Xenopus tropicalis: one gene and its partners. The protein of the gene in region 1 purifies or fractionates together with the protein of each later gene. This does not show direct contact. Links are inferred from orthologs where the notes say so. Each region holds a gene or a part of one and is shown in the gene's direction. Other genes may lie near its edges. The genes, in order: stk26, slmap, cttnbp2, cttnbp2nl, fgfr1op2 and sike1.

Region 1 (3,942 bases):
AGAGAGACACACAAAAAAACCTTTCATGCTTCAATGGTACTATTATGTAGTGGCTCATTCCTCATAACCCTTTTCTCTACTATCTCTATAATCTTTGTTAGTTGGTATTTAGTGTGTACATCCAGACTGATATCATGGGTAGGGGTCCCACCACCATCACACATGAAGAGGCTATTCAAGTAAAGCAGTAGTGTAAAATATGCAGGAAGGAAAAGCAAATGTGAACAGAATGTAGCAAAATGTTTGTGCCAGTCTTTACAGCAGTAACATGCCACTAGGGGAATTTGTTGACATACTGAATATATTGTGGCCCAAAAATTAGATTGATCTTCTAGTATATTTTTAGCTGGTAAACAGATAACTGTATATTAGCTGCAATCATAAGAAAACAGAGGGAGCTTCTAGGGCTGATTACTCAGGTATGGTAATGCTTTCTGCAGAATAAATATAGTGTTCTAGGTGGCACTAATGTGGTGAATCTGTTGGCAGTAAAATGCCAAAATGACTTTCCTTCTCCTTTAAGCCTCTACAGAACATGCTCCACAAGCTTTACTTAAGTCTTCTTATTCAATAACTGTAAAAGTGTGATACCTAGAGTAATTCTGCACTTTTTAGAACAGTTATTGTAAAAAGTGGAGTCTTCTATAACACATTCGCGCCACCTTTCTTCATAATGAGAAAGTAAAACTTTGTAATATTAGGAGGCTGTAGCCTACAGAACACTTTCTCACAAGCACGGCTATTTATCCTACTTTGAGAAGAGCCAAGGTCACCTATTAAGTAGGATAGTTTAGTCCTAGTATAGGAGCAGAGCCCCATTGAGGCATTGAGGGTTCTGGAAGAATCAGTTCAATACCAAATTAAAGCAGATTCAGTCAGACAGAGATATTGTAAGAGTCACCCTGCATGACTGACATAACAAAATGGAAAGTCTGCGACGGATTTGCCTCGTTATGCAAAGCTTCCCAGCCCTGCCCAGGTAGCATGACATCTTCCTAGTCACCTTTTCACATACTAGCGCTCAATGATCGCTTGGGGCGGGGCCGCCTGACATCACCACAACCCCACGTGACCGGCTTCAGTCAGACTGCGGCTCCACCCTGCGTGGCTTCAGCTGCAGCCTTCAGTCCTCTCCCAATATGGCGCCCCGAGCTTGCTGAGCTTCTACCCAGGCTTTCAGTACTTGGACCTTCACCGAGAAATGGTCACAGTGTCAGGCTGCAGACGGATAGCCACGGATAGCCAGAGCAGTGTTTGAGCAGCAGCGGGCAGCAGCAATCCCCGCTCGCACCCCACCGCCAAGTCGGAGTAGGAGGCCTTGACGCCGCCCGCCATGGCTCACTCCCCGGTAGCCGTGCAAGTCCCAGGGATGCAGGTGAGCTGCCACGCAGAGCATACTAGAGCTGCGAATGAGATTTCTCTGTGGCTTTATTAGCCGGCAAACCTCTTGCCCGTTTCTATGGGGCAAAGTCTTTCCCGCAGGATCTTACGATACCTAAGTCGTACCTAAGCAGGATCTTTAGGAAAGCCTGGGCACTGCCAGTTCTCAAGGGGTTGGCAATACCTGTAGTTATAGCCTAGGCACAAGTAGAAGGGCTAGGGCTGGGAGAATCTGAACTTGAAGCTTAGGCACAGTCGGGGGCTGTGTGTATAACATTGGCACTGTATATCCGGAACTGAGAGGCTGAGTGCCAGTACCATAAAGAATCGAACCTTAGACCAGGGTAGGTTCTGTGTCTATAGTATGGGCCGGCTTGGCTTTTCTACATCCTGACACATACAAAGAGGTAATGTCTGCTACCTTGGATTGCTGTAGTTATTGGCCAGCCGAGTAAAGGTTCCCACACCGTCCCAGAAATTCTGCACTTTACTAATACATGGAACTCGCCTGCTACGTCATTAGATAAGATCAGGGATGTCGCCTGTGTGACCCTTGCGACTAACATTGACCGCTCAACCCCTGTGTCAGATTCAGGCAAATCTGCTGAATAGATTGTGTTTTGCACCTGTATATGGAACTGACATTTCAAAGAGACGATAGAAGAACCCCAAGCCAAGCACAGACGTCATCAGTTCACTCCTGTTTGCATGGGTCTAGACACTGTCTGAAACGGGCATACACTGAGAGCTTATACACAATACTGTAAATATTACTGTACAGTAACACACCTATGCTAAACCAGGGCTGTTATATGCTGCCCGCAAGTTGCCCAGCATCATTTATGAAATGTGTTTGCTTTGAGTGCTAGTTCTTACCCGCGTTTAAAAGTACAGGTATGGGATCCCTTATCCGGAAACCCATTATTCAGAAAGCTTCAAATTACAGAAAGCACGTCTCCCATAGACTCCATTTTAATCAAATAATGCAGAATTTTAGAACTGATTTCCTTTTTTTCTGTAGTAATAAAATAGTACCTTGTAATTGATTCCAACTAAGAAATAAATAATCCTTATTGGATGCAAAACAATCCTATTGAGTTTAATGTTTTATTGACTTTTTAGTAGACTTAAGGTATGGAGATCCAAATTACGGAAAGACCCCTTATCCAGAATACCCTTGGTCTGAGCATTCTGGATAACGGGTCCTATACCTGTATCATATCCATGGCTTGGCCAGAATGCATTTATCAATATGGTCAGGGTGTCTTCCTCATTCTGTAATGTAAGACATCTAAGGCACTTGACTAAATACTATGGGTATGCCAGTATTGCTTGTATGCAATAAATGCTATATTTATTAATGTATACTGTACTAACAAAAAAGAGAAAAGCCCAATCTATGTGGCACACAGGTCATCCCACCAAACACTCCAAAATCTATACCCCTGAGTGTAAATAAACCAGTTATACAGTCACTCAGTGGGCTTCTTGGTGCTTGTGGTGTGGCACTTTAGCAGTACGAAATGTATGACCCTAAGTTGTATTGTCATCTTTTATCATTGTCAGTATTCTAAATTTAATATTTTGCAGTGATGAGCTTGAACTGATCCATTATCAAGTTCTCAACCCCTTTTACTGAGGATAAACATGTTACTCATAGTACCCACTTCATACATCAATGTTGGAATTGCTGTTAGGTTTACAGGTGTGTTCAAGCAATGTTCTTATATGCATTTTACATTACTTCCAAGAACAATATTGTAATGAAGACAATTTAAGTACAGAATCTTGAGTTAGGTGCCATGTTTGTATATTTGGAATTAAAATATACGCTTTAAAAAAGCATGGGCATCAAGAAGCTTTTGGCCCTTAACCAAAGTTTAAAGTGAGGTTAATAGTTTACATAAACTTAATGATCTTTAGTAATATTATTCTTTATATAGCATAAACATGTTGTGCATTCTTTTGAGATCCTGTTTATCATTTTAATTTGTCCTTGCACAAGTGGGGCTTACTCTACCACATGCATATATTTTGGGAAGTTTAGGGGCCCAATATATCTCTGTTGTTTTAATCTCTGTTTTATTTATAACTAATTCACAATAACGTGAAGGCCTTTCTGTGTTAAGTATGTTAAGAGTCCTGCTGGTTCAAATTATGTAGGTACATTGGGGTTTGGGTTGTGTATGGCAACTTGCTCAGCTTCTTTCAAAATAGCTTCTCTCCAGCCTTCTGTATTTTCTGATGATGCAACCTTTGATTTTTTGATTACATGGCTTCTGTGTTTTAGAGTGGGCAGCAGGTAGCAGACAGGGTTGTGGGTTTGGTAGCTTGTCAGAGTGGGGAAAAATGCAGGTCATGTGTGGATCTATCTGAATAGACCCATTCAGGTATCTAATGTATGTGCACTTGTTAACTTTCTTTATACTTGACCTGTTCTCGAGACCTGTGCCTATAATTAAATCAGAATACTTGTTAGTTATTTATTGTCCCACAATTCCATGTTGAAGTTTTCTACCGTTTCATTCCTCAACAACAAGTGAAACTTGTGAAACTTTATAA
Region 2 (4,115 bases), on another chromosome or scaffold:
GCTGGACTCTGTGGTACCGCGGTGCCCGGTTATCGGGAGGATTCTTACCGCTTCTGAATGCGAGACCGGCTTCTCCCCGGGCTTGGCTCCCCCTCCGCTAACGGCTTCCCCCACCTGTCAGAGTTCCCCGCACCGACCGGCTGCCCTCAGCTTGCCCACTTCCGGCTCCTCCTTCCACTCAAGCCTGGGCACCCAGGGCCACCTGCCCACCCCTAGCAGTGCCTCCCCCAGGGTGTGTATCCCTCATACCTGCCCCACAATCACTTCCGGCTGCTCTGCCAGACTCATTTGCCCCAAGGGTGGGCACCTCTAGGGCAGATTCACTGTTTCCTGCCTCCACTCATATCTGCCCTGAGCCTGGCACTGTTACCCCTCCCTGGGTTAGGCACCACTATCTGCCATCTAGCCTGCTTACCTCTGTCAGTTTAACTAGTTCCTGCCCCCAGGTGTCTGATAATTGCCCCCAGAATCACTGTAAGCACAGCCTGCCTTTGCCAGGATTGAAACTGCAAATTTACCCCCAGCTCTTAGTTTAGATACTCAGACTGATACCCCCCCACCCCCTCGTTCTTAGTTTAGATACTCAGACTGATACCCCCCCACCCCCTCGTTCTTAGTTTAGATACTCAGACTGATACCCCCCCCACCCCCTCGTTCTTAGTTTAGGTACTCGGACTGATACCCCCCCCACCCCCTCGTTCTTAGTTTAGATACTCAGACTGATACCCCCCACCCCCAGCTCTTAGTTTAGGTACTCAGTCTGATACCCCCCCCACCCCCAGCTCTTAGTTTAGATACTCAGACTGATACCCCCCACCCCTCGTTCTTCGTTTAGATACTCAGACTGATACCCCCCCACCCCCAGCTCTTAGTTTAGATACTCAGACTGATACCCCCCCCACCCCTCGTTCTTAGTTTAGGTAGTCAGTCTGATACCCCCCCCACCCCTCGTTCTTAGTTTAGGTACTCAGTCTGATACCCCCCCCACCCCCCGTTCTTAGTTTAGATACTCAGTCTGATACCCCCCACCCTCAGTGTTTGGCCCATTAGTCCATACTTGATTACCTTTGATAACTGACTCCCTTTCCATTCGTCAAGCTTACAACTGCCCTAGCCCCAATATTACATACCCCTGCTGATAAATACTGGTAAACGTTATATTACCCCCCCCCTCCCCAAAGCCCGGATACCCATCTCCTTATTAGAGAGAAATCTTCCCTCCCTATGCAGGCACTGGGATAACCCTGTATTGTGGGCATCACTGGGCCTGTTCTACTGAAATCTGCCCCTCTGTTTCTGCCCCTCTGGGAGTCCAGTTGAAACCTTCTGATCTCTGCAGCCCCAGTCCCTGCTGTTTCCATTTAACACTGACATCCTGGGTTTGTTTCATATTCTGTGTACTGGATAACTGTTTTTGGCAGCGTCGGAGTCCTTGGGGGGGGTTTGGACTTGCCATTTGCTTGGCATAGAGTGGTAAAGAATCCCAAGCAGACTGGCACTGTATGACGCTGCTAAGGCTTTACTGGCACTAACGGAACAGTAGCTAACCCTTGGATTGTGCATGACTTGGAAGCAGGCAAGGAAAGCTGTTTTCCATCTGGCATATGTGGCTATCTCTGCTCTTCCTGATGATGGATTAAAAGTACTTTGGAGGGCAAGTTAAACCCAAGGTGTTGGAGGCAGTCTTGCATGGGACCAGTATGGAGCATTGGCCGGGGAACTGGAAGGATTGTTTACAGACTGGTCCACACTCCTTTTAGCCAAATTGTGTTATGAATAGGTGATACGCTCCACAGAAATCTGGTGATCACAGCACAGGGCTGCCTGGACCAGCCTTTGTTCCTAATTAGATTGACCCACTGCCCAAGCTGTCTCAGATGCCTTCAGCCTTGGCAATCTTCACCTGCCGCCCCAATTCCCACCCTTTCCAAGAGCGCCATGTCTACTTGGACGAGCCAGTCAAGATTGGCCGCTCTGTGGCTCGCTGTCGCCCAGCACAGAACAATGCAACCTTTGACTGCAAGGTGCTGTCAAGAAACCACGCACTTGTCTGGTTTGACCACAAGACTGGCAAGGTAATAATCTTCTGGGCTGAGCGCGCTCAGTACACGTTTACCTGATTTCTGTGATCCCCATGATTAGGCGGCCTTATCTCCGGCTTGTTCCAGCAGGAGGGCTGAAGCCGCTCTTTTTGCTCTGAGGCTGAAAGGAACCCATATGGGTTTTGGGGGGTTACGTTTATTTTTGAAAATGGAAAATATGTGCTGTTGCGTTTTGCGCTACAAGCTGACACTTCTGGTATAAATCCCCCTAGTGGTGCTGGTTCCATTGGGGGGAAACGTTGTCCCGGTAAGACACAAGCTGAGTTTCACTGGGTTTTCTTATTTCTCACAAACCTGCGAAACAGGAATAGAGGCAGGGCAACGCGCTCTTGGAGTCTTTTGTGGCACTTTATTTGTCTGTGGGTAATAACTAGTTTGTAAGCACCCTGTAACTAGCCAGCATATGAACCATAATGTCCGCCACTGGCTTTCCGCTGAATACTTGCCCTTTCTCACCAGATGGCATGCTGGGTTATTTATCCCCTATGTAGTAGTTCTCAGTGGTCTTGTGATATAAATTGGTTTGTTTGTATCTGTTACAGATTGAACCACAGGTCTTTGCTGTGAGTCAGCATCGCTCTTTCCCAGACTCGCCTCTCTATGTAATATCTGTAGAGCGGCTACTCCTGTTTTCAGGGTCGGTGTTATAAACAGCCCAATTGGGACCGTTATGGTAGGGCTCCCTACACAAGGTGTTGCCAGCTGGCACAGGGTTCCAGGGTTGGGTGGGCAAATAGTCCCTGCCTCTCACTCTCTCCATGTGACTGATGATGTAACTGGTGCTTATTCCTGCTGGTGAAGAGCCCCCATGGGTGAGGGACCCTATTGGGCCCAACAGGCCTAAGGCCGGCCCTGCCTGTTTTGATCAGAAGGGCATGATGGGACTGAAAGTGAAGGCCGGTTGCCCCTTGCTGAAAGCAGATGGGTGAAATTCCTGCCCCTGCAGAATAGCCAGCTGAACTTGGTCATAAATAGTTTTTTTTTTTTCCCCAGTGCTTTAAAAACAAATATAGATAAGAAATAAAAATATTCGATGGGGCAGTCTACACACGTATGATTCTTTCCTGCTTCATTATGTTGGATTTGTGTCTTTAAATGCATATATTTTGTATCAAATGATACAGCATTTGTTATCTATTTAATCTCATCTTAATGCCAAATAGGGATGTGTTTGCAGATTCCATAAATCAGCCATAGGGCAGGTGTGGTGCTGCAACTCCCAGCATGCTGCAACCTGAGTGCCAAGCAGCATTACACAGTAAATCCCCAGATTCTTTTCTTTTCAATGTAATACACTATTCTGTATCAGTGACCTTCTCTTTTTCTCAGGCTTCAGAACAGCATTGTTTTTAATGATTAACTCTGCCCTCTCCCTGCAACCTGCTCAGGCAATTCTCTGCTTTGGCTCTCTGCAACTGCCTGTATATATACCCGGGTTTGGCATGGCAGTTGGGTTTATTTAGATCTTTTTCTCTTTCAGTTTAAAGACAGGCATTGTGCATCAAAGCTGATCTGTCGCCTCTCAGCTGGTAGATAGATGTGCCCTGGCAGCACAGTTGTTCTCATAATGGTGCCAGCTACTTAATCTAATGGGTCAGTGTAATTTGGCCACCCTTGTAAATAACCCATTGGAACAATATGTCATTGGTACGCCTTTAGGCTGCCTTGAGTTAACTTTTAGTATGATGTAGTGCAGAGATCCCTAATCTTTTATACCCGCGAACCACATTTAAATGGAAATGTGTTGGGGAATAACACAAGCATGAAAAAGGTTCCTGGGGCCAGCAATAAGAGCTATAATTGGCTACTTATTAGCCCCTTTTTGGACTGGCAGCCTACAATAGGCTCTGTTTGGCTGTACACTTGGTTTTTTATGCAGCCAATACTTGCCTCCTTATCAGAAATTCAAAAATAAGCCCCTGCTTTGAGGCCACTGGGAGCAACATCCAAGGGGTTGGTGAGCAACATGTTGCCACTGATTGGGGAAAACTGATGTAGAGAGTAATATTCCGA
Region 3 (3,500 bases), on another chromosome or scaffold:
ATGTTCCAGGTTTCCATTTTGTAAATGGTCATCTAGTTGGTGTGCTTCATTTGTAGGCTGTTAATTTTCCCAGGCTCTGATTACTAAAGCCTCGCATTCTGAAGTGTCTTAGTAATAATATACTAATTGTAACAATGGGATCATTTTATCTTCTATTTTTCTTTACCTCTGAAAGAATTGGATAGGGAAAAGGCAAACTTGTTTCCCCAGTCTTTAGTGATAAAACTGTTGGATGGGATTTCACAACACAGATCTAGTTACCCCTACTGAGTCCTCCCACCTCAGGCTTTGCAGCAAAGTGGGGTGCAAAGACATCTCACATGGTGCCTCCAATTGTCTAAAACTAGGCCACCTGACACCCCTGGCCAATTACAAAACTGCCAGAGAAACTTTAACTTTGAAAGTAAAAAATTAAACATTGTGGCTTTGTACAAGTGAAAAATTGCACATTTTCTTATGTTCAGCACCACTGCTGTAGAACACGTTAAACATGCAAAATAGCTGCCTGTTATGTTTAGATCTGATGGCTTTTTCTGCCACCTTGTGTTTGATTTTTGAAATAGCAGTTTTAGTGTTATTACTTCAGTGGAAGAAATAATCATATTCAATCATTCCTTGTTTAGACTATATTTAAGACAAGTTGTAAATCAAGCAACCATAAAACATTGTTTTTAAAAAGCTTCCCTATCATAGAATAGTATTTTAGTAGCATTTTAACTACTGCCCACAGTGATTTTATCCCTGTTTGCTAATGTTACTCACATTGTGGTGTCAGAAGAGAGAAGCAATTAACCTAGTTCCAGAAACCCTTGTTATATTTACCTAATGCAGCTACTTAATGTACATAGTAAAATCAGATATTTTGTGCTCTTTGAAACATTTGGCTTCTATATATCCAAATATAACTTTAAAATGTCCTTATATTGGATAAAACTGATCTCATATGGCAAATACACAATACGTTTTACTTTATCAGTTCTCAGTCCATAAAAAATAAGCCAAGAATGTATAGCCATATGTGAGAATGTCCAGACTTCCATAGCCATTAAGGCAAGTAAGCAGAAATACACAAACTCTCATTAAACTCTAATTGTTAGCCCAGGTGTTGGGAAACTTAATGGTCTACAAATAGTATTTCCATACTAGAAGTGTGTGTCTGCTATACTGCTGTAAAAGCAACAGTATGGAAATTAGCATGGGGGGAGCATTATGTAGAAAGGTCACACAGCATAGTCAAAATCACTAATCACAAACTCTTCAAACTTTTGTGGGTTGTTTCCTAGCCTTATTTCATACCTACTTTCTAAAACAACCTTCTCTTGTGGGCTAATTGATACTATGGGTAAATTAATTATTGAAGCTGTAGCAAGAGCTCAGGGACCTAGTAGGAAGTATTCCCTTCATAACAATTTGATATTCTGTTTAATTTCACTGTAAAGGGCTTATATTTTTTTTATAGCTCTATTTCCCATTTCTATGTATATGTTATTATGGTAATGTATAAAAATATACAGTAAAAAATAATTCCAATGAACCAGGTATAAAATGATAATGTATTTATTTACATAGTATGGTGTGCTTTACAAGTGATATAGGTATTATAGGAGTTTCAGTTCACAGTTGGGATGATGTCCCTGTCTGAAGAGCTACAGTCTCTTAGTATAGTTTATTTCATGTTTCTAACTTTACAACCAAACGAGAGTAACAAATATATTCTTCTTTTAAATGTTTTCATTAGGTTGAACAGTATCACAATGTGATCTTTCAAGGCCCGGAAGGAAGCTTGCAGGAGTACATAGTACAGCAGCTGGCATATTACATAAAGGTAGGAAATCGTATTTACAACTAGAAAAGTCATCCTCTCTTGTTGCTGAATTGCACCTCCCCCTCTGTTAATGCTGAAATGAGGTTGTTTGTCTAGAAATTATATATTCGCAAATACATTATCATTCTTGTCTGTGTTTTTCTTAACAGCAAAAAGAAGAGGCTTCTGGATTCAGATGTGATATAGTGAAAGTGGAGGTAGACCCTGAATTAACCAAAGAACAGCTTGTGAGCATATGCATCAATTCAGGTGACAAAAGTGTGAAATAACTAGAATTTCAGCTAGATTTTGGCCAGGCAAATATAATATGTTTAACAAGTGTCATTAATGCCAACCGAGAGTGGACTAACGGGGAAAGTAGTCTTATTCATTGATACCAGGTGTTGGGAAAATGCTGTCTGGTATCTGCTGTTTTATAATCCTCTGCCATATACCTGAATAAAACAGCCCCTTACAAACCAGACAGATGTCTATAGTTCCTTTTGTATGAAGTTCTGCCATCTTTAACTAAACATTCCTTGGTGTATATTATAGGTAATTTTTAGGAATATTATAGGTAATTTCTTATAAAGTATCTCCAAAAAAAGGAACCAGTCACGTTCATTAAAGGAACAGTAACATCAAAAAATTCAAGTGTTTTAAAGTAATTAAAATATAATGTGCTTTTGCTCTGCAAAAAATGGTGTTTTTGCTACAGAAAAGCTACTATATAAATAAGCTGCTGTGTAGCCACGGGGGCAGCCATTCAAGCTGGAAAAAAGGAGAAAAGGCACAGGTTACATAGCAGATAACTAGTAGATAAGCCCCATATAATGAGGGTTTATCTGTTATCTGCTAAGTAACCTGTGCCTTTTCTCCTTTAAATGGCTGCCCCCATGGCTACACAGCAGCTTACTTATATAAACTATAGTAGTGTTTCTGAGGCAAACATACCAGTTGTAGCAATGCAGGGCAACAGTACATTATATTGTAATTACTTTTATACACTTTCATTTTTTGGTGTTACTGTTCCTTTAACCTGCTTTTCATAGTTTTTCTAACTTCAACGATATGGCTGCCTGTAATGAGAGTGCCTTATCTTTTCTTAGGGGACCTAAGTAATCTACTTTGGCTATAAACCAGTTTTTGGTAACACTTATCCATCTAATTCTGCATACTGGTTTCTATTTTATAAAAAAAAAAAAGCTAGTTTTATCATTATTTTATCACATGAAGCCACCCTAAAAGGTATTAGAACACATTTTTGGTTCCAAACTATATAGGATAAAAATGTTTTATCAGGAAGACTATAGAAAACCTGTTTTGCATTTATGGAGAAGAATTGTCAATATTCTCTGGCTTTGTGCAATTACCCATTACTTCATGGCATCTGTGAGTTTCTCTGCCTGATACTGGATTTTTGATTCACTTCAGATATTTAAGTAATAAGTTTACTCTATTTCCTGTTTGTCAGTGGGCCAAATTTAGGCACAAAATACATTTGTAAGTAAAAAGTGGCATACCAAGCAGTTGAAGTTTAGTCTTATTTCTACAACAGAATTTTAACAAAGTAATACCATAATTAACATAATATCATTATTGCTTGTAAATGATTTTTTATAGTGAGCACTCTTCTGATATAATGGTCTCTGGCTATTTGTGTTTCAGGTTGCTTGATCCCTGTTACTGATCCACC
Region 4 (4,296 bases), on another chromosome or scaffold:
CGACCCTTTCGTGGTTTGCGTTGGTGACAGTGGCAGCCTTCTTCCGGCCTTTTCCCCAGCACCGGACGTTTGGAGTTCCTCTCCTCCTGCAAAAGATACCTCACCTTCCTCTTCCGCGTGGTTCCTAACAACAACTCCCCCTGCTCCCCTCCATCCCGGAACCTTTTTGGCCGAAGGATCTTCCTCCTGGGCAATTCCACTCCTGCACCAATGGCGTCCATTATCATACCTCCCAACATTTGAAAATCAGAAGGAGGGACAAAAATGTCTGCCACGGCAAAATTTTTTAGGTCATGCCCACTTTATGGCCACGCCCCCCCCCCCAAACAGGCCCATTTTACAAAACCACACCTGAAAAGCATAACATATACAAAGTGCACCAGAAGACAGACACGGTGGCCCCAATCATTTTATGACATATTGTGGCCCTAAGGATTTCATTATGCACTGTGGCACCTGTATTTAATGACAGACTCATGACAGACATTGGTAGCCAGGTGTTATGTTTTGCATTGGCGCTAGAGCAGGGACCCCCTAAAACATTGCTGGTCCTCCCCCAGTGTCCCCCTACTATGGGCTGCTCCCCACTGCAGAATCCACCCAACATCCTCCAGCTCCCCCCAGCATCCTCCCCAACATCCTTCAGCTCCCCCCAACATCCTTCAGCCCCCCCAACATCCTTCATTTCCCCCCAACATCCTTCAGCTCCCCCAACATCCTCCCCAACATCCTTCAGTTTCCCCCAACATCCTTCAGTTCCCCCCAACATCCTTCAGCTCCCCAACATCCTCCCCAACATACTTCAGCCCCCCCAACATCCTCCAGCTCCCCCCAACATCCTCCCCAATATCCTTCAGCTCCCCCCAACATCCTTCAGCCCCCCCAACATCCTCCCCAACATCCTCCAGCTGCCCCTTACCTTCCTCCAGTGTCCTCCCCAGCATCCCCCTGCTCCTACCACCAGCTTCCTCGGCTGCGCCCCAGGGCTCTTCTTCTCATCCTTGTGACGTCACACGCACGTCTCCCCTTAGCGCCGCAGCTTCTGCACTGTGAATGGCTTTTTGTTAAAACTGAAGTGAGCGGTGCAGAAGCTGCGGCGCTAAGGGGAGACATGCGTGTGACGTCACGGGAGCGGAGACCTTTAAAAAGCGGGACAGATCCGCGCCTATCCGGGACAGTGGGACAGGGTGGCAAAATCGGGACTGTCCCGCGTAAAACGGGACAGTTGGGAGGTCTGCATTATTCAAGCGAAAATCACTTCTGCTGACTGATGCCTGCTGCTGATCCAGACTCTGCCAAATCCTCCACGGGCACCGATCCTGAAACAAGAAACAAGTAAGAATGTGGCCTTAACAAACATACATCCCATTACATACCTTGCTCTGCCTAAGTCCCCTCCCCTAGCCCACCCCTCTCTTTCCCTCCACTGCTCATCCTTCTATTGTTCTACCTGGAGCTGGCCGGGGGAGGGAGCAGGCCCTGCCTGAATGACCATATGGCTAAAGGGGGAAGGGGTCCCAGCCTAACTTCATTTCAGCCCTATTTGGGCTTCATTCACACTATTAACCATAATACTATCTGCGGTATAGCGTAAACATTCGCTATTTTTCTTCCAACTAGTTCATCGACTTAAAAGGTATACAGTTCCTTTATACATTAGGAACTAGCTGCCGCAGGGAGGACACATTAGTTTTAGTCACACTGTTCCTCTCCCCTGCCAGTAGCCTCTTTCCAGCCCACAGTCTGGCAGAGACTGTACCGAGCAAGGCTTGGCTGAGTGCAATGAACGCAGCCTATCCCATCAGCAGCCCAATCCCTAAGGGTGACCAGGAGAACCAATCCGCTGCCTGTTTACATGGTGCTCTGAAAAGGAGAGGGCTGTCCTCAATGAATAGAGTTGGGAGGAAACCTTCCTTGCAGTCTGCCTGATTGTGTCCTGTTCTGCAACAAAGGAGGAGAAGTGTAAGTGACAAAATCTTATTTCCACGAGTGTCGGGACGCTTTTGAGTGGGGTTTGGGTGGGCCCGTGGAGTACTAACTGGTTGGAAGGCATCAGGCAGCGTTTTTGTTCCAAGGGGGCCTCTCAAGGCTGCTCTGTACAGCTGTGCTTCAATACCGTGCTGCTGGATGGTGGTGCTCAGACACTGCACATCCTTACACTCTGCATTGGAACTGCTGCTGCTACTTTGTCTTTGTGCTGCTTGTGAGCCTGACTGGGTAGATGAATTTAAAACCAAAACAAAGATGTATTGTTACAAAAATGCAAGTTGGTTTAATTCTTATTTTTCTGATTGGACCGCTGGTGCTTTAAAGCAGAGATTGCTGTTCTATATTGTCATGTTAGGTGCCTGTAACAACTAGCCAACCTGGCCCTCCAACTTGGACTACAGTTCCCAGCAGGCTCATTGAAATCATACTGCATACAATATAGGGCTGCAAACTGCTTTAATACTCAGATGTGTTTGTAAAAATTACTGGATTACATATTATTCTAATGCGTTCGTTCAGAATTATTATTATTTTATTTTACCAAATATTTCCACTGTTTAATGACTTTTCAGAAGTTTGGAGTAAATTACAATGACTTTAAAGTATAGCACCCTCTATAATACATTTTTCTGTCTTAATGTAAATATCAGAAAATGTATCTGCCTGGGCACTAGCTCAAGTTTGCATGCTCTCCCCATGTCTGAGTGAGTTTCTTTGGGTAATCAGATTTCCTGTTACGCTCCAAAATTATACAAGCAGGTTAATGTCAGTTGCATGAGGAGCCAATTAGACTACCTTTATGTATTTAAACTGAGAGAAATCCCACATAGACATGGGATGAACAAAAAGCCTTGAAATCGAATCCTGGACCCCAGCAGGGCAAATATGCAGTATTACCCACTGCAACACCACAGGGCTGATTCACTAAAGTGCGATAAATTTTATCGCACTTTTTTTGCGTTAAAATAGACGCGAAAATTAGCGCGCGATTTACTACAGTATTACCATGTGCGTTAAGTCGCGTATCGCATGCGTTATTTTTTGCGCAACCGCATGCGTTAAATAGCGCGCTGAAAAGAATACAAACGCATGATTCACAATCACTTAGGCGCGCTAAATATCGCATTAGGCTATGCGAAAAATAACACCTACTGGAGGCAGGCGATAATTATAGAAAAGTACAGTAAATGAGCTTTTGGCAATAAAATATGGACTTTGCAATGCTATTTATTCAAGTATGTGTTGGCCCTAGAGTGACGCAGCCTCCAGTTTGCAGGGAAATGGTCATTTTTAATACAGTAATTTTACGAAAGTATTGGCATGTATGGCTAACATGGCGTGCGTTTCTTCACGCGACTATTTATATGCGGCTACAATTGATGAAATGTTTCGCCAGGCGAATTTTTGGACGTGCGACAATTTTTTTCGCGGCAAATTTTTTCATGCGTTTTGCCATTGGCGGATTGTTTTGCGAAACGCATGAAAAAATTCCCCGTGGAAAAATTCGCCGCACGTCCAAAAATTCGCCACGAATCCATGCCTGGCGAAACATTTCATCAATTGTAGCCGCATATAAATAGTCGCGGGCAACAATTTTTTTGCCCGCACGACATTGCAAATTTTTCGCTAAAGATAAGCGGAACAGAGCAGTTACTATTTATAAGCAGCTACTAATTATATGCTACCATTTATATGTGGCGACAATTCATATGCGGCTACTATCTATTTGTGGCGACTATACGCGGGTGTTAATTAGCGCATGTACCGTCAAATACCGAACGAAATTAGTCTTTGCGAGTTAAATAACGCATGCAATATCGCGCGTAAATTAGCGCAAGTATGCTTATAGTGAATCGTGCGATAAGTCGCGAAAATTTAGACGTGATAAAATTTTTAACGCACGCTATAAATAGCGCACGTTTTATCGCACTTTAGTGAATCAGCCCTCATGTGTCAGATGTGATTTCAGAGTGTGCATTTGCATATTTTATGTGCATACTAAACCTTTTTTTATGTAATCTCACACCCAGAAATTGCAATGAACTTTAATAGAAGTCAGTGGCTGTGATTTCTGTTTATGTGTATGAAGTCAGATCTGATTTTCAAGTCTTGTGAAAAACAAAAGTTTTGCCTTTTCATTCATATATGTGAGGTTTCAAACAGCTTTGGACATATGTTAAACTAAATTTAACTGTTAAAGGGATATTGACACTTTTCCACATTTACTAGAAGTGTTCATTTATCCTTTTAATAAACTATCCAGCTGCCTCCCACAAACCCCTGTACCCTTCTTCCTCACTGCGCAAC
Region 5 (4,144 bases), on another chromosome or scaffold:
AGGTCCCTATCCCATTCCCATCAGTCCCTGCCCCAGTGAGCTTACAATCTAAGGTCCCTATCACATTCCCATCAGTCCCTGCCCCAGTGAGCTTACAATCTAAGGTCCCTATCCCATTCCCATCAGCCCCTTGCCCCAGTGAGCTTACAATCTAAGGTCCCTATCCCATTCCCATCAGCCCCTGCCCCAGTGAGCTTACAATCTAAGGCCCCTATACCATTCCCATCAGTCCCTGCCCCAGTGAGCTTACAATCTAAGGCCCCATACCATTCCCATCAGCCCCTGCCCCAGTGAGCTTACAATCTAAGGTCCCTATCCCATTCCCATCAGCCCCTGCCCCAGTGAGCTTACAATCTAAGGCCCCTATACCATTCCCATCAGCCCCTGCCCCAGTGAGCTTACAATCTAAGGTCCCTATCCCATTCCCATCAGTCCCTGCCCCAGTGAGCTTACAATCTAAGGTCCCTATCCCATTCCCATCAGTCCCTGCCCCAGTGAGCTTACAATCTAAGGTCCCTATCCCATTCCCATCAGTCCCTGCCCCAGTGAGCTTACAATCTAAGGTCCCCATCACATTCCCCTCAGTCCCAGTGAGCTTACAATTCAATGTAACCAGTTGTACCTATGGAGTGCAGTATATATTTCATATCCATGGTACTTACCCTTTGCCCCCTGGGCTGGGGTGATGCAGGGATGGGGGGAACACAATGGCCGTTACAGACGAGATGCAGGGAGTCTGGATGCACCTGGGGTGTCTCCTTTTCTCACCATTCTGACCTTACAGGGAGAGAGAAGACATGTTGGTGCCGGGGCTACACAAGCAGTAGGGCAGCTCCCACCTCTCATACTATTCAGACTCATGAACTGTAGAACCCCCCCCCCCCCCCACCTTCCATTTCCCTCAAATTCTCTTCCCAGTTCTACTCCCCAAATCCTGCCCCCCCTGCACTCCCGTCCCACAAGTCCTAGGGTGCCCCTGGGTACCCCTGTGTCCTTCCCTACTCACCTCCCGTCACAGGCCTGAGCAGCTCATCGCTACCCCATTAATCGTACGTTTTGCCCTTTCATGCTGTTTGGTCCCTGCCGCTTTCTGTTTTTAGTAGATCTTATCCAGGGGGGCGGGCACTAATCGCCTGGAGATACAGTGATTGGCTAATTTAATAGATGAGCAGGAAGATACTGTGAGCGAATATCCGCTACAAGAGGGCTTTGCGCTGTAGGGAGCCGGACCTCTAGCAGCGAAACGTCTGTGAAATACAGTTTTCCAGTCGGAATTATATTCAGGGCGGCCCTTTGCACCGGAAGTGACGTCCTTGACAGGTTCTCAGAAGGCATGCGCGTAGCGTCACCTGCGGTTTCAGCTGAGTTTGGCTTCACTGACGGGACCAGGGCGGAAACGGAAGGGCTGGGAGCTCTGGGACCGAATCTGCCGCTTGTGGGGTGACAGGGTAAGTACGGGCAATGGCTGGCACCCTCACTCACTGGCACCCTCACTCACTGGCACCCTCACTCACTCACTCACTCACCGGCACCCTCACTCCTACATACACTCACTGACTGACTGGCACCCTCACTCCTACATACACTCACTCACTGACTGGCACCCTCACTCTTACATACACTCACTCACTGACTGGCACCCTCCCTCTTACATACACTCACTGACTGACTGGCACCCTCACTCCTACACTCACTCACTGACTGACTGGCACCCTCCCTCTTACATACACTCACTCACTGACTGGCACCCTCACTCCTACATACACTCACTCACTGACTGGCACCCTCCCTCTTACATACACTCACTCACTGACTGGCACCCTCACTCCTACATACACTCACTCACTGACTGGCACCCTCCCTCTTACATACACTCACTCACTGACTGGCACCCTCACTCCTACATACACTCACTCACTGACTGGCACCCTCACTCCTACATACACTCACTGACTGACTGGCACCCTCACTCCTACATACACTCACTCACTGACTGGCACCCTCCCTCTTACATACACTCACTCACTGACTGGCACCCTCCCTCTTACATACACTCACTCACTGACTGGCACCCTCACTCCTACATACACTCACTCACTGACTGGCACCCTCCCTCTTACATACACTCACTGACTGACTGGCACCCTCACTCCTACATACACTCACTGACTGACTGGCACCCTCCCTCTTACATACACTCACTGACTGACTGGCACCCTCACTCCTACATACACTCACTGACTGACTGGCACCCTCACTCACTGACTGGCACCCTCCCTCTTACATACACTCACTCACTGACTGGCACCCTCCCTCTTACATACACTCACTGACTGACTGGCACCCTCACTCCTACATACACTCACTCACTGACTGGCACCCTCACTCCTACATACACTCACTGACTGACTGGCACCCTCACTCCTACATACACTCACTCACTGACTGGCACCCTCACTCCTACATACACTCACTGACTGACTGGCACCCTCACTCCTACATACACTCACTGACTGACTGGCACCCTCACTCCTACATACACTCACTGACTGACTGGCACCCTCACTCCTACATACACTCACTGACTGACTGGCACCCTCACTCCTACATACACTCACTCACTGACTGGCACCCTCACTCCTACATACACTCACTCACTGACTGGTACCCTCACTCCTACATACACTCACTCACTGACTGGCACCCTCACTCCTACATACACTCACTCACTGACTGGCACCCTCACTCCTACATACACTCACTCACTGACTGGCACCCTCACTCCTACATACACTCACTCACTGACTGGCACCCTCACTCCTACATACACTCACTGACTGACTGGCACCCTCACTCCTACATACACTCACTGACTGACTGGCACCCTCACTCCTACATACACTCACTCACTGACTGGCACCCTCACTCCTACATACACTCACTGACTGACTGGCACCCTCACTCCTACATACACTCACTGACTGACTGGCACCCTCACTCCTACATACACTCACTGACTGACTGGCACCCTCACTCACTCACTGGGCACCCTCACTCTTACATACACTCACTCACTGACTGGCACCCTCCCTCTTACATACACTCACTCACTGACTGGCACCCTCACTCTTACATACACTCACTCACTGACTGGCACCCTCACTCCTACATACACTCACTGACTGACTGGCACCCTCCCTCTTACATACACTCACTGACTGACTGGCACCCTCACTCCTACATACACTCACTCACTGACTGACTGGCACCCTCACTCCTACATACACTCACTGACTGACTGGCACCCTCACTCCTACATACACTCACTGACTGACTGGCACCCTCACTCCTACATACACTCACTGACTGACTGGCACCCTCACTCACTCACTGGCACCCTCACTCTTACATACACTCACTCACTGACTGGCACCCTCCCTCTTACATACACTCACTGACTGACTGGCACCCTCACTCTTACATACACTCACTCACTGACTGGCACCCTCACTCCTACATACACTCACTGACTGACTGGCACCCTCCCTCTTACATACACTCACTGACTGACTGGCACCCTCACTCCTACATACACTCACTGACTGACTGGCACCCTCCCTCTTACATACACTCACTCACTGACTGGCACCCTCACTCCTACATACACTCACTGACTGACTGGCACCCTCACTCACTCACTGGCACCCTCACTCTTACATACACTCACTCACTGACTGGCACCCTCCCTCTTACATACACTCACTCACTGACTGGCACCCTCACTCTTACATACACTCACTGACTGACTGGCACCCTCACTCCTACATACACTCACTGACTGACTGGCACCCTCACTCTTACATACACTCACTGACTGACTGGCACCCTCCCTCTTACATACACTCACTGACTGACTGGCACCCTCCCTCTTACATACACTCACTCACTGACTGGCACCCTCACTCCTACATACACTCACTCACTGACTGGCACCCTCCCTCTTACATACGCTCACTCACTGACTGGCACCCTCACTCCTACATACACTCACTGACTGACTGGCACCCTCACTCCTACATACACTCACTGACTGACTGGCACCCTCACTCTTACATACACTCACTCACTGACTGGCACCCTCACT
Region 6 (4,135 bases), on another chromosome or scaffold:
AATGAATATTGTAAAGGTTTTTGTTTTTTTGTCCCTGACCAAGCTAAAAGCAGGACTCATTAACATAAGCCATGACATCTTTATCCCCTGTATTGATCAATATTGGTATGTTTCATGTATTCACCCTTCTATTGTATAGCACTGTGGAATATGTTGGTGCTTTATCATTCCATTTCTTCAGAACAGTTTAAGCTTATGCACATGGGGCGTTTTGTCCACCACTGCATTTTAAAGGAAAAAAGCTGCAGTCTGCCATTTGAAAGTGTACCTTCCATCTGTCATTACCAGTAATGTATTTTAAAAGGAAAGCTCCGTGACTGATGCGTACCAATAGGTGACAAATTGAGCTACCTGAAAAAAAACTCAAACACTAGTAACACGAAGAGCTGCGAACTCCGTTAAGTTTCACAGGAGTTAACCGTTTAAGCACCCTTCCGCCACAATATGGCAGTCCCCTTATTTTGTTTATTAAAACTGTGCAGTGAGCATTCTGCTCCAAAAAAGAACGTTAACATATACAATAAGCACCTATTGACAGCTGTGGGGCATTGTGCGCATACCCAGTGACATGACCGTGTACCTGCAATAAGCCATGCCCACAATTTTCTGGAATTTCCCCCTTGATCCAGACCCAGACTGAATCTGCTGATTCTGGCAAATATCAGAGGGGCTGCTGTAAAATGCTATTTGGGCCCCTGTGTACTTGAATTGCTGAGACTTACTTTGAATCCCAGTCTGGCTCTGCTCCAAACAGCCATTTCTAGGTTGACAGCTCTGGTCAAAAGTGATAATAAACCTCTCTGGTCCTTATGAGACCTTGATTACCATCACGGTTGCCACCTTTTCTGAAAATACCCTCTTTCCTATATTTTAATCGATATACAGTATACATACAGAGCTGTCAACCCCCCCTATTTGTTCGGGAGTTACTAGATTTTGGTGGCGCGGCACAGGTCTCCCTTCCCTCAGCAGCATTCTCCTCATGGGGCTGGCAATTCCATTCTTTATCACCAGCAAGTATAGGCAGACAGAAGCACTTTCAACGCTACATTAACTCCATAAATGCAAGCCCCCAAGTAACATAGGCCTAAAACCACACTGATTCCAGAAACAATAATATATAGGTCTAGCCGTTTTAAAGCCCTTTATAACATGTTTCTACTATTTCCAAATTGCAAAATTCAGGCACCATCATTCGCATTAGCTTGTAACGCATGCGCATAGCAAACCGGAGAAGCCGGATCCGCACATGCGCAGAACCGCTTCCCCATCCAGGATTACAAGTTCTCGCGATAGAGCCATGTTTGGTTCTTACGTAAAGTGCGTGCTGCGTATGGCGGCGCAATTGGGTGAGTTTATCTGTGTTTTCAGATTTTGCCTCCGCAATTTTGAGTTAACACAATGTATTTGTTACTGACAGACTCTGGTAGTGGGTTTTGTGCTTTGGCGGGTTAAGGGTTGTTTTTTTATCACCTGGACAATTTCCAGGTTGGCAGGTTGAATTCGTCTTCTGTTTTTGCCTTAGGTTGTTAAAATCCATATAGTAATACTTATCCTTCCAGTAACAAGCGGACTTTTGCCTTATATTAACGCACACTTTTTTTCAATTTATCCTTTTTAGCTTCCAGCCCTGCTTGCGTGTACCTGTGCTTGCTTAGACAAAGACCAAGGTCTCAGATTTTATATCTCAAACAATGGTGATGTTTGTGAACTCTCAACCAAACCAGCGTCGTTTTATTGACTTCCAGGCGGGCAATGGTAGTGACAGGGCGGGGCTTGAGGGCACAGTGACCAATAACAGAGCGGGCAGGGCAGCCTTCTACAGCTAAAGAGTTAGGGTGACATCATCTGGATTGTGATGTGTAATGCATGCTTAATAAAGGTAGAGTTGTCCTTCTAAGAACCATAACTCCTTGATTGTCTCTCTCTCCAGGCTGTACTTATTTTGATCTATTTTACCAGCAGCTGTGTGGCAATACTGGTTGATAAACACCACTGAGAAAGTACAAGTTCTACATTCCATTAAAGGGCCCCATTCATTATATTGTATTTATTTGTCTGAAATTAGTAACCTTTAGTGGAGACTGGGCAGTAGTTTGACGATTTAAAGGCAAAACTTTAGTTGGTATTAGATAGGAAAGTGTTTTACCTTCTCAAACAGCAATGTCAGTGTGCTTTATGGCAAAACAATACAGCTAGGATATATATATATAGATAATTAAATTTTGCTTCACAAGTTGTAATGTAATTATGAATAAGGTTTTGGTTGTAGTGGAGGTAGTCATTCAGGTTCCGGTAGGGCTGAGATATCCACATTTGCTGAAAAAAGAAGCTGTTTAGGATACAGTGCTTTTATTAGTACTTAACTGGTGATAAGCAAAGTTCAAATTTCATTCATGACTCTACAGACCTATAAAATAATAACCTTTATCATTCAAAACAGGACTATTCCTGTCAAGAAATATCTTGTTTACAGTTGCCGTACAAATGTATTATAAATGTATAAAAAGTGTTACATTTTGATGTTCATGTTCCTTTAAAGGAGAAGGAAAGTCATTTTGGCATTTTAATGCCAATAGATCAGACACTGGAACGTCATGTTATTCTTTTGATAGAGGACTTAGTGCAGCATTACTTTATGATAAAGATTACTTAGTTTTTACCTTTCCTTCTCCTTTAAGGCTGGTAACACATGGGGTGGATTCTTGGCCTGCCTTCATATTAAAAGAAATATAGTTTTACCCTAATTTTTACTTTTCAAGCCTTTTACAAAAAAAGAGACAAGAAATGCTGTGTTTCTTTTGATAGAGGACTCAGTGCAGCTTTTCTGAGTGTTTATGGCTGTATTTACATAGACCTTTCTGATAAAGCTTACTTAGTTTTTACCTTTCCTTCTCCTTTAAGGCTGGTACCACATGCGGCAGATTCTAGGGCCTGCCTTCATGTTAAAAGAAATATAGTTTTACCCTAATTTGTTCTTTTGAAGCCTAGAAAAAAAATGCTTTCTGGCTTAACTGATCCCAGAAGTTTTATTCCTTTTCAGGCTTATGGGTAACCATGGGTAACAGCTGGCTTGGTACAACTTCTCTGTCAGCCCGGTCTTCACCAACACCTTTTGGAGCCCTAGAACTTTCTGCTGCAGAACTGACACTGCAATTTCATTCATCTTCTCCTAAATTAGCATTTGTTCTATCCTTGAATAGTGAAAAATCTGCTCATTGTTTGCACAAAAGAAACTGGGACCCTCTAATGACTCCACAAAAGAAAGCCCATAAACTAAAGATGACTTTTGCTCAATTTCACCATTGTCTTCTCCTAAATTAGCCATAGTTTTGTCCCTAAACTGTGAAAAATCTGGCCTTTGTTTACAAGACACAATAGAACTCTGAGTATAAAAAACAAAAAAGGTTACTTAAAGGAGACATATTGGATAAATGGGGAGCAACGCTAATTTTGTAGGCAATTATGAATAATATCCGGTGCTGGTTTCACTTTGTGCTAAAAATAAATTCTCTCTGTAAAAATGGCCCCTTTATTGGAGCTCCCTATAGATCCTCTCACTTCTCCCTCCAGTGTGAAATGGAGAGTGGGCGTGTCCTAACGGTCCCTGCCAGATACACAGTAGGAGGGGGAGAGCCAATCACAGCCCTGCACTCACACAAGCACAGACAGGCTTCAGTTCCCTATCAGGTCAGCCTAGCTGCTGATTGGTTCCTATCCTACAGTGCAGGGTACGGAGGGCCGCCGGCTCCCCAGCTCATCCAGAGAATTCAGCCAGCAGGAAGTGGCACAGATGGGCGGGGCTAGTGGGGGTTTTGTGGAATTTCTCAAAAAATCAGTCAGAAACACAACTTTTTAAGCACAATCCTTCTATATCTAGAGGAGTATAATTCCCTGGTACATTCATCATTTTTATAGGATATGTCTCCTTTAATTTTACCTGATCCTAGAGGTTTTGATGGTGGCAGGTACCAAATGTAACCAGAAAGGTGTTGATTTTTGCTTTTTTATTCCCTGGCGCAGGTGTGAGCTCTGAGAAGGGTCAAAAAATTTACTGTAGGTTAAATATTAAGAGGAGAAGCTCTTGCGGTGACCATATTGCCAGAAGTCACTAGTAAACTAAAGTCTTTTTGGA

Evidence for each region.
Region 2: the proteins of stk26 (region 1) and slmap purify together in Homo sapiens (affinity purification with mass spectrometry; 5 studies listed by BioGRID and IntAct, with this or other methods). This does not show direct contact. The link is inferred for Xenopus tropicalis from reciprocal best matches to the Homo sapiens genes STK26 and SLMAP.
Region 3: the proteins of stk26 (region 1) and cttnbp2 purify together in Homo sapiens (affinity purification with mass spectrometry; 4 studies listed by BioGRID and IntAct, with this or other methods). This does not show direct contact. The link is inferred for Xenopus tropicalis from reciprocal best matches to the Homo sapiens genes STK26 and CTTNBP2.
Region 4: the proteins of stk26 (region 1) and cttnbp2nl purify together in Homo sapiens (affinity purification with mass spectrometry; 4 studies listed by BioGRID and IntAct, with this or other methods). This does not show direct contact. The link is inferred for Xenopus tropicalis from reciprocal best matches to the Homo sapiens genes STK26 and CTTNBP2NL.
Region 5: the proteins of stk26 (region 1) and fgfr1op2 purify together in Homo sapiens (affinity purification with mass spectrometry; 4 studies listed by BioGRID and IntAct, with this or other methods). This does not show direct contact. The link is inferred for Xenopus tropicalis from reciprocal best matches to the Homo sapiens genes STK26 and FGFR1OP2.
Region 6: the proteins of stk26 (region 1) and sike1 purify together in Homo sapiens (affinity purification with mass spectrometry; 4 studies listed by BioGRID and IntAct, with this or other methods). This does not show direct contact. The link is inferred for Xenopus tropicalis from reciprocal best matches to the Homo sapiens genes STK26 and SIKE1.

What each region holds. Positions count from the first base shown.
Region 1 is NC_030684.2:67,411,607-67,415,548, forward strand, and holds the start of stk26 (serine/threonine-protein kinase 26), read left to right. Parts: upstream 1-1,142; 5' UTR 1,143-1,333; coding exon 1,334-1,375; intron 1,376-3,942. UniProt on the Homo sapiens protein: Serine/threonine-protein kinase that acts as a mediator of cell growth. Modulates apoptosis. In association with STK24 negatively regulates Golgi reorientation in polarized cell migration upon RHO activation.
Region 2 is NC_030680.2:148,084,927-148,089,041, forward strand, and holds the start of slmap (sarcolemmal membrane-associated protein), read left to right. Parts: upstream 1-1,315; 5' UTR 1,316-1,877; coding exon 1,878-2,075; intron 2,076-4,115. UniProt on the Homo sapiens protein: Associates with the striatin-interacting phosphatase and kinase (STRIPAK) core complex, forming the extended (SIKE1:SLMAP)STRIPAK complex.
Region 3 is NC_030679.2:68,596,453-68,599,952, reverse strand, and holds part of cttnbp2 (cortactin-binding protein 2), read left to right. Parts: intron 1-1,738; coding exon 1,739-1,825; intron 1,826-1,974; coding exon 1,975-2,074; intron 2,075-3,472; coding exon 3,473-3,500. UniProt on the Homo sapiens protein: Regulates the dendritic spine distribution of CTTN/cortactin in hippocampal neurons, and thus controls dendritic spinogenesis and dendritic spine maintenance.
Region 4 is NC_030678.2:60,444,976-60,449,271, forward strand, and holds the start of cttnbp2nl (CTTNBP2 N-terminal-like protein), read left to right. Parts: upstream 1-1,496; 5' UTR 1,497-1,962; intron 1,963-4,296. UniProt on the Homo sapiens protein: Regulates lamellipodial actin dynamics in a CTTN-dependent manner. Associates with core striatin-interacting phosphatase and kinase (STRIPAK) complex to form CTTNBP2NL-STRIPAK complexes.
Region 5 is NC_030679.2:2,582,840-2,586,983, forward strand, and holds the start of fgfr1op2 (FGFR1 oncogene partner 2 homolog), read left to right. Parts: upstream 1-1,344; 5' UTR 1,345-1,448; intron 1,449-4,144. UniProt on the Homo sapiens protein: May be involved in wound healing pathway.
Region 6 is NC_030678.2:53,677,257-53,681,391, forward strand, and holds the start of sike1 (suppressor of IKBKE 1), read left to right. Parts: upstream 1-1,335; 5' UTR 1,336-1,349; intron 1,350-1,680; exon of another isoform or gene 1,681-1,882; intron 1,883-4,135.